Caenorhabditis elegans: one gene and its partner. The protein of the gene in region 1 interacts with the protein of each later gene in a biochemical or structural test. Each region holds a gene or a part of one and is shown on either strand. Other genes may lie near its edges.

Region 1 (6,165 bases):
TGCATTTTTTCCAGATTTTCACTGAAAAAACTGCAAATTTCGTCAATTTTCAGTATTTTTTCTGAAAAAAAACTAGATGCCAGTGAATTTTCAGCTTTTTTACAATAAAATTGCCATTTTTAACAGGTTTCGGTCAAAATTTTGTGGTTTTTAGTAATTTTTTGGAGTTTTCAACTGAAAATTGCAATTTAAAAAATGTATTTTTCGGATTTTCAGCCAACTTCTAAGATTTTTACTGAAAAATATCAATTTTCTGGGAAATCGCTGAGTTTTCAGCTTTTTTAACCACAAAATTTGAATTTTTCACTAGTTTTCAGTCGAAAATTTGTGTTTTAAACAGAAAGTTCAAGTTTAAAAATTTATTTTTCGGATTTTCAGTCAACTTCCAAGATTTTTACCGAAAGATACAGAATTTAATCCATTTTTTAAGTTTTTTCAGCGCAAAATTGCAATTTTGCTCTGATTCTTGCTGCAAAATCGGATTTTTTATCGATTTTTCTTCATTTTTTTCTGGTTTTTTTGTGTTTTCCAGGACCACACATAAAAATGCAGTTTAAAATCGATTTTCTCGAATTTCTAGTGAATTTTTCGCAATTTCCAGGCAAAAAACTACGAACATTGATGAAATTGAGAATTGTATCGATTAATCCCGGCTTATTCCACGCCAGACGCTTCGAACTGCCCAGATAATTGATAAAACAGGGGAAGAGATCGGCATGATTCCGGCAAAGGCTCGGATATCGATCGAGAAGCACCGAAAGTGTGCTCAGTGCGAGGTGGCGGACTCTGAAAATTCAAAATTTCCCATTTTTCAGAAAAAATCCACTCACTCTGTGACGATATTCGTTAGAGCGCGGAGCACGTGGGACAGGAAAAGTGTGATATGAGCCGACATTGCTTGAATTGAAGCTGTACACAGAATTTTGTAGAGATTCAGTAGATTCTGACGTGTGGAGGGCTCGAAAGAAGCGTCAGCCACGTGCACAGCCACGCAGGGAACCAAAAGCCTCAACTGGACGTTGACAAGATCCGGGCGAGACGTTAAAATCTGTTTTAGTCCTTGAATAGCGTTCATTTTCACTTTCTGAACGAGAATTTATTAATTTTGATCGATATTCAGCGAAAAATTACCGCATTAAAGTGCCCCATCTGCTTGCAGAGCTCATCGAGCGTTAGACCACGGAAACTAAGTGGATTATCATCTGTTTCCACTTTTTCCTCCAACTGAGTCGCCAATACTACTCGTTTTGCTGAAAAAATGAATTAAAATTCGCGAAAATCGGGTGAAAACTCACCTTTGATAGTCGTGTCGGTGGTCGTCGTTTTTTTCAGCTTTTTTCCCACCTTCAGCTTGACTTTTTTGAAATCTTCGTTTTTCCGTGCCTTCTTTTTGGTCACCATCTGCAAAAAATGTTAATTTTCGCGTGTTTCTTGAGAGAATAACAAGAAAAATGCGAAAATGGCAAAGGAAAAAAAAAGAGAGGAGAGACCACGCCTCGGTGAAGTGCAAGTTTCATAGATATTGATTCGAGAGAAAATTATTCCCATAAATAGAAACATCACGCCCAATTTTTAATATTTTCTTTTATTCAGAGTTAAAATAAATTGAAAACCAAATTGTTAAAATTTTTCCCACTATGCTCAAATCAGATCCTTACAATAATTTATAATTATCCTGCGTTCCCGTTTCTGCACACTCATTTATCTCATAATACAGCAACGTCTCCAAAGCAAAAGCGCTCTACTGCGCATAGGAAAAAGGCGCGAATCGAGTGATTTGAATAATTTCGCGGTGTTTTACCGCATTTTATCTTCTTTTTTCTCATTTTTAAACGACGTTTTACTCTTATAAATATTTTTCACGTATTATAGTTTCATATATCTTTCACACATTCGTCCTCCTAAAAAATTTAGTGATTCTGAAGGCTCGTAATTTATATGGCATGAATGTTCTGAAATATTCCTAATTTTTTGAACTTTCAGATTTTTATTTTTGAACATAAAATGGCTCACACTTTTGCGTGCCCACGTGGAGATTGTGGACTTTTTTCGCTTTCCAAACTGTAAGTCAAACATTGTATTGCATAATCACCGGTTTTTGTTTCAGGGACGATCATCTCACTGCGGATCATCATCTGGAACACATGTGTTCAGAGTGCGAAGAGAGCTTTGGCTCTGCAGAAGAGGCCAAAGAGCATACTCTTTTAGCTCACGAAAATGCTCAAACATTCGATGATCCAAAAATTAGAAATACTAGGTATTGTTGTTATCTCAGAGCTAAAATAAATATAATATTTCAGAATTGTAGATTCCATAATTGCAGCAGTGAGAGTATCCGGTGATGTGATTGAAGAATTCAATTCAGTGATCATGCGAGCGGTTATTCGTCATTGGGGAAACACGAGCACGGAAAAGCTGGTAAGGAGCAGATGATAATTTTATTTTATCTGAGAATGCGTTTTGCGCAAAATATCTTGTATCGAAAACTACAGTAACTTTTTCAAAGACTACTGTATCACTAGCGGCGACTTACGGAAATCATTCGATAAAAATTAAAAGAAATCACAAAAATGACAACAACTTGAATTTCGCTGTCACAATTTGATCAGAAAATTACAAATAGCAAGCCAATACATCGACGCCAGTTCTACAGTAGGCAGTTCAGGTTTTTTATACAGTTAAGTATTATATTAAAAGTAAAATATTAAAACTGTCACCTTAAATTTGAATCCAGCCAAGCCCGCGAAAAACTCCGCTCGATTTCGGATGCCGAAAATTGGCTCGAATCGAGAGATATTCGGGAGATGCTGGAATCAAATAAGACCTACTTTCTTTTAGATTTCCGCCGATCACCACAAAAATGAAAAGAGTGGGTAATATATCGCGGCCGACAACCCACGGGTTCCGCGCCTCGCTATAAATTAAGTAAATTAAGCCACGCCCTTCAAAAGCACACCAACTGATAGGGTGTGGCTTAATTGACTTAATTTAGAGCGAGGCGCGGAACCCGTGGGTTGTCGGCCGCCATGTATTACCCACTCTTTTCATTTTTGTGGTGATCGGCGGAAATCTAAAAGAAAGTAGGTCTTATTTGATTCCAGCATCTCCCGAATATCTCTCGATTCGAGCCAATTTTTGGCATCCGAAATCGAGAGGGAATTTTTCACGGGCTTGGCTAAATTCAAATTTGATGTGACAGTTTTAAAATTTTGATACTCTTTTTAACGAAAAATTATTCGATTTCAGATTGCTGTCGTTGATTCTCCAATGATTACTCGTGACTTCTATATCGACTGTTTTGAAGCTTTAAAGATGGTAGACTATTCATTTGTATTTAAACAATGAAATAAAATTCGAAATTTGCAGAGATACGATTCTGGAGAGAAGTCCATCGATCTTCTCTGTCGTTTGGCAAAATTGTGTACAAAAATTGGAAATTTTGTTGAGAAGGAAAAGAGAAAGGACATCATAATCAAAGGAAAGATGTACGCTACCGAAGCCTGGAACACCGATTCGTACAACATCTTGGCTGCTCATTGGGCCGCTGTGATGTCAGGAAAGGCAATCGAATATCTTGAAGGCGATGAAAAGAATCTGGAGATGAGACACTGCAGACAATATCTCGATCGTGCCATCTCTATCCAGGCAGGAAAAAATGCAATGTACAATAATATTCTTGGCCGTTGGGCTCTTTCAGCACTGGAGATTTGGGAGTCTGACCGACAACAGTTAATTCATCATTATGCCACCCCATATGACGCTATCGACGATGCCATTTATCAGTTCAGATCCGCTTTCGATCTCATACCGTATTGGATCGATAATATTGTACACCTGGGCAAAGCGCTTCTTTACAATGAAAACAAAGAAGCCGCCATTGGAATGTTTCAGCTCGCACTCAAAATGGACCCGTCGAACGATATCGAGAAAGAGTTGCTCGCCGACGCCCTTGACTTGTGCTCAATTTGATCCTTCTTTTATTTCCATTTTATTTTCTGTGTCTCATTTTTCCGTTTGCACTTTCCTCCGTTTTTTTATTGTAAAAATTCCGTAAAAATCGGCCCAAAATTCCCATTTTCAGGGGATTCTTGGAGCCCAACTTCTTTTTTTAAAAATTTGGATTTTTAAATTTTTCCCCGATTTTCTATAGGAAATTCCAAAACATTTACTGAAAAATAGAAAAAAAAATGGCCAGATTTCTCGAAAAAATTAAAATTTTTGGAATTTTTCTGATTTTTAGCTAATTTTTTGAAAAAACTGGCTCAAAAATTTTTTTTTGGTATTTTTTAAAGAATTTTTATTTTTAGAAAATCCGTGAAAATTGAGGGAAATTGAGCCAGAAATTTGGTATTTTGGAGCCCAAAATCTGTTAATTTTTATTTTTAAATTTCCACGAATTTTAAGCTAATTTTCTGAAGAAGTTGGCTCAAAATTTCGGTTTTTTGGAATTTATTTTTTTCCTGAATTCCTAGAATTTATAGTGTAGTTGATCCGGAAATTCTATTTTTCTCAAATAATTGAAAATTTTTACTTTCAGAAAATCCCTGAAAATTGAGTGAAATTGAGCTCAAAATTCATATTCTTCTCAAAAAATTGATTTTTCTGTTGAAACTTCCTTGAGAAAATTTCTAGAAGAAGCTGGCTCAAAATTTCGAATTTTTGGAAAGTTTTTGGAATTTTCATAATCAAGTTTTTTTCGAAAAAATTGAAATTCCGCCGAGTTTAAGCTAATTTTTAGAATTTTTCTCAGTTAACGGTTCTTTTCTAGTGAAAAATTCCAAAATTTAGAAATTTAAAAATCCCTTTTCCCCTTATAAATTGCCCCAAACATTTCCGCTTCAACCAATTTTTCAACATTTTTATTCTATATTTAACGGCTATACAAAAAAATCGATAATTTCTCAGGTTTTCACCTCTATTTCCTATCTTGTTCACACGCCTCGGTCCCAAAATTTAATAGATTTTCAGGCCAAAAAAACCAATGGGGTTTTTACAAATTCTTCAAGAATGTCGAGCCGAAGGACTATGGCCAATTGGGCCATCTTGTAATAAGGTGCTGTGAAAAATTTGGAAAAAAATTATTATACATTCGTCGAAAAATTTCATCTCAGTTTAAAGGCGCACACATTTTTTGTACTTTGGGTCTCACCACGATTTCGACTTTTTGAAGCTTAAAATCACTAAAAATTACGTGGATCGTGGCAGGACAAAAAAGTGTTATTATACATTCGCCAAAAAATGCCAGCTGATGAAAGGTGCATGTTTTTTGCAAAAATTGCAAAAAATTACCAATCGAAAAAAAAAACTCATATTTTTCCGATGGGTCTCGCCACGATCTGCGTCTTTTGGATCCTAAAAGAACCCAAAATTATGTGAATCGTGGCGGGACCCAGAAGTGTATGCGCCTTTAAAATAGGAGAGTATATTTTTGAGAATGTGTAATAATTTATTTTTTTGCTTTGAAGAAACTTTTTATCATTTTATGATAATAATAATTTTATTATACATACGTCGAAAAAATGTCATGGCAATTACCTTTAGGTCTCGCCACGATCTACGTCTTTTGGATCCTAGAAGCGTCCAAAATCACGCAATTCGTGACGAGACCCAACAGTGTATGCGTCTTTAAAATAAGCTTGCATAATTGTGGGAATGTATAATAATTTATTATTGTATTTTTTCAATTATTTATTACAAAAAAATGTATCAAAAAATTTTATACAAATCAACAAAAAAAACAAAAACAATTTTTTTCGTGTACTCCACACGGACAACAAACTGTAGTTTTACAACTAAAACGCGCCGTAAATCTACACAAAATCTCTCCGACCCAAAATGGCCTAATTCGGCAAACTCTGCCATTTCGATTCATGAGGGAAGCCAGAATTCCGTGTTTTAACCGAAAATTCCAGAGTCTATCAAAAAATTCCAATTTCACCTTTCTACCGTAGTCCAGCGCGGGAATTCAAAATTCTCACGTTCCACCGGTCTCCCTTATCAATATATATATCATCCTCACGGGGTTCTGGCTCGACCCCCCTCTCGAAAATTTTGGAAAATGGCGGGAAAAAATATTTGATCTCGCAAGAGGAATTTTCACGCAGCGCGTTGAAAAAGTGTATGCATTTGCGCGTGACGGTGTTTGCACAAAATACACCGAGGGGT
Region 2 (5,152 bases), 5.2 Mb from region 1:
ACAAGTGACTTCATTGCCGGATTCTGTGGAGAAACTGAACAAGCTCATCAGAACACACTTTCCCTCATTCGAGCCGTTCGTTATTCATTCTGCTTCGTTTTCCCCTACAGTATGCGTGGAGTGAGTCAGTTGCTGAAAATTGTTCCTATCAGATTATTTTCAGAAAACGCGAGCACATCATCGGTTAACAGACGATGTTCCAGAAGATGTAAAAGCAAGAAGACATTTAGATTTGACTACTGTATTTCGGGAAGAAGCATTGAAATTGAACCAAGCGCTTATCGGGTCGGAACAGACGGTTTTGTTGGAAGGAGTGAGTCATCTATAAACACCAATAAAATGAATTAAAATAATATTTTTAGAAGTCAAAAAGGGATGCATCATTTTCACATGGAAGGATCGATGGTGGTGTGAAAGCAGTGTTCGACAATTCGAAACTCTGTTTGGAACCTGGTCAATATGCAAAGATTCTGATCACCGACGCCAATTCGCAGACATTGAAAGCGCAACTCATAGGACAATCCAGCATCTGATCTATAAATATAGTTGAACCTTACACTTCATAGAGTAGTTATCTTTGTTGTTTGTTATTGTTAAAGATAAATCGTTTGAGTACACGAAAATGAATTTATTCAGAGCTCGTTCATTAAAATACAGAAATTCCCGAAGGAATAAAGAATAAATAATTGTTACTTGAACGGAGATCGAGGAGGAATAACGAGTGAATTGATGGGTTCGATTTAAATGTCTCCTCCGCGAAGACGAAGAACGAGATGAAGTGTCGACTCCTTTTGGATGTTGTAATCGGATAGAGTGCGTCCATCCTCGAGCTGCTTTCCAGCAAAGATCAAACGTTGCTGATCTGGTGGGATTCCCTCCTTATCCTGGATTTTGGCTTTGACATTCTCAATGGTGTCCGAAGCTTCGACCTCGAGAGTGATGGTTTTTCCAGTCAAAGTCTTGACGAAGATCTGCATACCTCCTCTGAGACGGAGCACCAAATGAAGAGTAGACTCCTTCTGGATATTGTAGTCCGAAAGGGTACGGCCATCCTCGAGTTGCTTTCCTGAAAAACAATAAAAATTAGTTTTAATTCTAAAAACAATATGAACTCACCAGCGAAAATAAGTCTCTGCTGATCTGGTGGAATTCCTTCCTTGTCTTGGATCTTGGCCTTGACATTTTCGATGGTGTCGGAGGCTTCGACTTCGAGGGTGATGGTCTTTCCGGTCAATGTCTTGACGAAGATCTGCATACCTCCTCTCAGACGGAGAACCAAATGAAGAGTAGACTCCTTTTGGATGTTGTAGTCGGAGAGGGTACGACCGTCTTCGAGTTGTTTTCCGGCGAAGATGAGTCTCTGCTGATCTGGTGGGATTCCTTCCTTGTCTTGAATCTTGGCCTTCACATTCTCGATGGTATCAGAGGCTTCGACTTCAAGTGTGATGGTCTTTCCAGTCAATGTCTTGACGAAGATCTGCATACCTCCTCTGAGACGGAGCACCAAATGGAGGGTTGATTCCTTCTGGATATTGTAGTCCGAAAGGGTACGGCCATCCTCGAGTTGCTTTCCGGCGAAGATCAAGCGTTGCTGATCTGGTGGGATACCTTCTTTGTCTTGGATCTTGGCCTTCACGTTCTCAATAGTGTCAGAAGCTTCCACCTCGAGCGTGATGGTCTTTCCTGTAAGAGTCTTGACGAAGATCTGCATTCCTCCTCGGAGACGGAGAACCAAGTGAAGAGTAGATTCCTTCTGAATGTTGTAATCAGAGAGCGTGCGCCCATCTTCCAATTGCTTTCCTGAAATAATAATAGTTGATTTGAGTTATGTATATCTATATAACGTACCGGCAAAGATAAGACGCTGCTGATCTGGTGGGATTCCTTCCTTGTCTTGGATCTTGGCCTTCACATTTTCGATGGTATCAGAGGCTTCGACTTCGAGGGTGATAGTCTTTCCAGTCAAAGTCTTCACGAAGATTTGCATACCTCCTCTCAAACGGAGAACCAAATGAAGAGTTGATTCCTTCTGGATGTTGTAGTCCGAAAGGGTGCGGCCGTCTTCGAGCTGCTTTCCAGCGAAGATGAGACGTTGCTGATCTGGAGGAATTCCTTCCTTGTCCTGAATCTTGGCCTTCACGTTCTCGATGGTATCGGAGGCTTCGACTTCGAGGGTGATGGTCTTTCCGATAAGAGTCTTGACGAAGATTTGCATTCCTCCTCGGAGACGGAGAACCAAATGAAGAGTAGACTCCTTTTGGATGTTGTAATCGGAGAGAGTACGGCCATCCTCGAGTTGCTTTCCGGCAAAGATCAAACGCTGTTGATCTGGTGGGATACCTTCCTTGTCTTGGATCTTGGCCTTCACGTTCTCAATAGTGTCAGAAGCTTCAACCTCAAGAGTAATAGTCTTTCCGGTCAAAGTCTTGACGAAGATCTGCATTCCTCCTCTTAGGCGGAGCACCAAATGGAGGGTTGATTCCTTCTGGATATTGTAGTCCGAAAGGGTACGGCCATCCTCGAGTTGCTTTCCTGAAAATATATAATAAATTTTAGGTCAAATATTAGATATTTTGCCAACGTACCAGCAAAAATAAGTCTCTGCTGATCTGGTGGAATTCCTTCCTTGTCTTGGATCTTGGCCTTGACATTTTCGATGGTGTCGGAGGCTTCGACTTCGAGGGTGATGGTCTTTCCGGTCAATGTCTTGACGAAGATCTGCATACCTCCTCTCAAACGGAGAACCAAATGAAGAGTTGATTCCTTCTGGATGTTGTAGTCCGAAAGGGTGCGGCCGTCCTCGAGCTGCTTTCCGGCGAAGATAAGTCTTTGCTGATCTGGTGGGATTCCTTCTTTATCTTGAATCTTAGCCTTGACATTTTCGATCGTGTCGGAAGCTTCGACTTCAAGTGTGATGGTCTTTCCAGTCAATGTCTTGACGAAGATCTGCATACCTCCTCTGAGGCGGAGCACCAAGTGGAGAGTAGACTCTTTCTGAATATTGTAATCAGAGAGTGTGCGTCCATCTTCCAATTGCTTTCCTGGAAAAAAATTAGTCTCTCATGAACAAAATTTGTTATATGTAACATACCAGCAAAGATAAGACGCTGCTGATCTGGTGGGATTCCCTCCTTGTCTTGAATCTTGGCCTTGACGTTCTCGATCGTGTCGGAAGCTTCAACTTCAAGTGTGATGGTCTTTCCAGTCAAAGTCTTGACAAAGATCTGCATTCCTCCTCTAAGACGAAGAACCAAGTGAAGAGTAGATTCCTTCTGGATGTTGTAGTCAGACAGGGTGCGGCCGTCCTCGAGCTGCTTTCCGGCGAAGATGAGACGCTGCTGATCTGGTGGAATTCCTTCCTTGTCTTGGATCTTGGCTTTGACATTTTCGATGGTATCGGAAGCCTCCACCTCCAGGGTGATAGTTTTTCCAGTCAACGTTTTGACGAAGATTTGCATGATTGCTGAAAAAATAGAAAATGAGTGCGAATAAAACTGGAATGAGGAGGCGAGAGAAGAGGTGATTATGAAAGAAAGTCCTAGAAAGTTGCGAAATATTACCCAAAAAATCGATACACTAGTAAGACTAACAAAGCAAACTTCATCCCCACTCGTCATAGGCAAGTCAAACGAAAAAAGAAAGGCATAAAAGTAAAATGGTAGTAAAGAGCTAATCGATGAGGAGTAATGTCCGAGTAGAGACAAGTGAAATGAGAATGGAGACAAGGTGGCACGCGAGCGGAGCGTTCTGGTCGAATGGGGTGTATGACTGCTGTATGCCCGCCTCAACGATCGATAAAACCCCCAACGCACGCGCACACTGACTCCGCCTTCCCCGAGTGTTGTTAGAGACGCAGATGTTCAGCTGATGTCCTCGTTTCTCTGACCGAAAATAACTACCAAGCAGTATTGCTAAAATGGGAAAATAATTCATATAACAACTGATTGAGATTATTCAAAAAAGCATGACATTTCTGTTGGTTTTACCCCGCTAAATCTTACAATTAGACAAAAAAAAAGAAACTCACCGTTTGGTAAACTGATTCTTGACAGTAATAAATTAAAGAGCGCCCAAAACGTGAATATTGAATCTACACGTTGAACTTTACTCAAACATTCTAATTAAACGACGCACGTATTATTGAAGGCCACAAAGTAAAAAATGTTGCTATGCTCACTTTCTGTTAGCAAGAAGTCGCCTATTACGAGAACCAGTGAGGAAGAGCAAGAGAAAGGAGGGGGGGGGGGGGGGTCGCTGACTCAAACGGCACTCTTTCTGCACAAGAAGAACATTCTAGAGTGCTGTGTAGGGAAAGAAATGATGAGGAAGAAGGGGACAATGTGTGCAGAGGGAATACAACGAAAATCGAACGGGGTGTTCTTTTTTCTCGTCATGCAACTGGGTCGACCAGTTTCTTTTCATCTTTAACTAAACGATAGAGAAATCATAGGCCTGAATAATAGTGACGTCTGTGTAAAGTATTGTTTCCATTTTTGTTACAGAAAATGATGAAACGAAGAATAGGAAAAGTGAACAGGGTCAGTTGTTCGTTTGACGCATATATAGGGAGAACATAAGAAAGAGCAGACGGTCAAGGACATTTTTTTATAATCTGCGACTAGCAGGAAAGTATGAATAATGTCCTAACGGCACCCGAACCAATTTTCAGACAGACGCGAAAGTGCTTGTACTTTGTACTGATGAACGAACGACAAAACAAGTGCAGTGAGAAAACGGGAGGACACTGGGGAGAATCATGTGAGCCCGTCATAAGACTAAAAGATGAGCTAGTGGCGATCAGGCGAAGGTTCAATACGACTATTGGGTCTTTTCAAGAGAGCCCCGGAAAACTAAATTTAAAAACATCAGTTAAGAGTACAACGAGAACAGGGAATGAGGAACGCACAGACTAAACATTAAAATTTTCCGATACTTTTCGAAAGTATTGCGAAATCAATAACAAAATACTTTGCTATGAGTTTTTTAAATGAAAACCGAAATAATGCAATTTTCTGAATGCTGGAAAGAGTGAAAAAGCGATACGAAAAAGCAGAGAGCAGCGAAAATAGCCGGCAACTCAAGATAATGAGAGAGCGCGAATGAATGAAGAAAATGATGGAAAGATCTGGAAAACAGAAACGAGCGGCAGAAC

What was found.
Region 2: of the proteins of sup-35 (region 1) and ubq-1, one has a biochemical effect on the other in vitro, tested with the Caenorhabditis elegans proteins (one study listed by BioGRID).

The regions. Positions count from the first base shown.
Region 1 is NC_003281.10:11,115,039-11,121,203, reverse strand, and holds sup-35 (Regulator of microtubule dynamics protein 1), read left to right. Parts: upstream 1-1,977; 5' UTR 1,978-2,004; coding exon 2,005-2,063; intron 2,064-2,107; coding exon 2,108-2,257; intron 2,258-2,300; coding exon 2,301-2,418; intron 2,419-2,719; exon of another isoform or gene 2,720-2,843; intron 2,844-3,246; coding exon 3,247-3,315; intron 3,316-3,366; coding exon 3,367-3,969; 3' UTR 3,970-4,981; coding exon of another isoform or gene 4,982-5,053; 3' UTR 5,054-5,450; downstream 5,451-6,165. Other genes in the region: Y48A6C.4 (Pre-rRNA-processing protein Ipi1 N-terminal domain-containing protein), read right to left, coding at 618-786, 831-1,084, 1,132-1,250, 1,296-1,401.
Region 2 is NC_003281.10:5,939,297-5,944,448, reverse strand, and holds ubq-1 (Ubiquitin-related), read right to left. Parts: upstream 3,464-5,152; 5' UTR 3,459-3,463; coding exon 3,092-3,458; intron 3,042-3,091; coding exon 2,586-3,041; intron 2,533-2,585; coding exon 1,849-2,532; intron 1,801-1,848; coding exon 1,117-1,800; intron 1,067-1,116; coding exon 741-1,066; 3' UTR 622-740; downstream 1-621. Other genes in the region: F25B5.5 (CDK5RAP1-like protein), read left to right, coding at 1-120, 164-313, 363-533. UniProt on the Caenorhabditis elegans protein: Ubiquitin exists either covalently attached to another protein, or free (unanchored).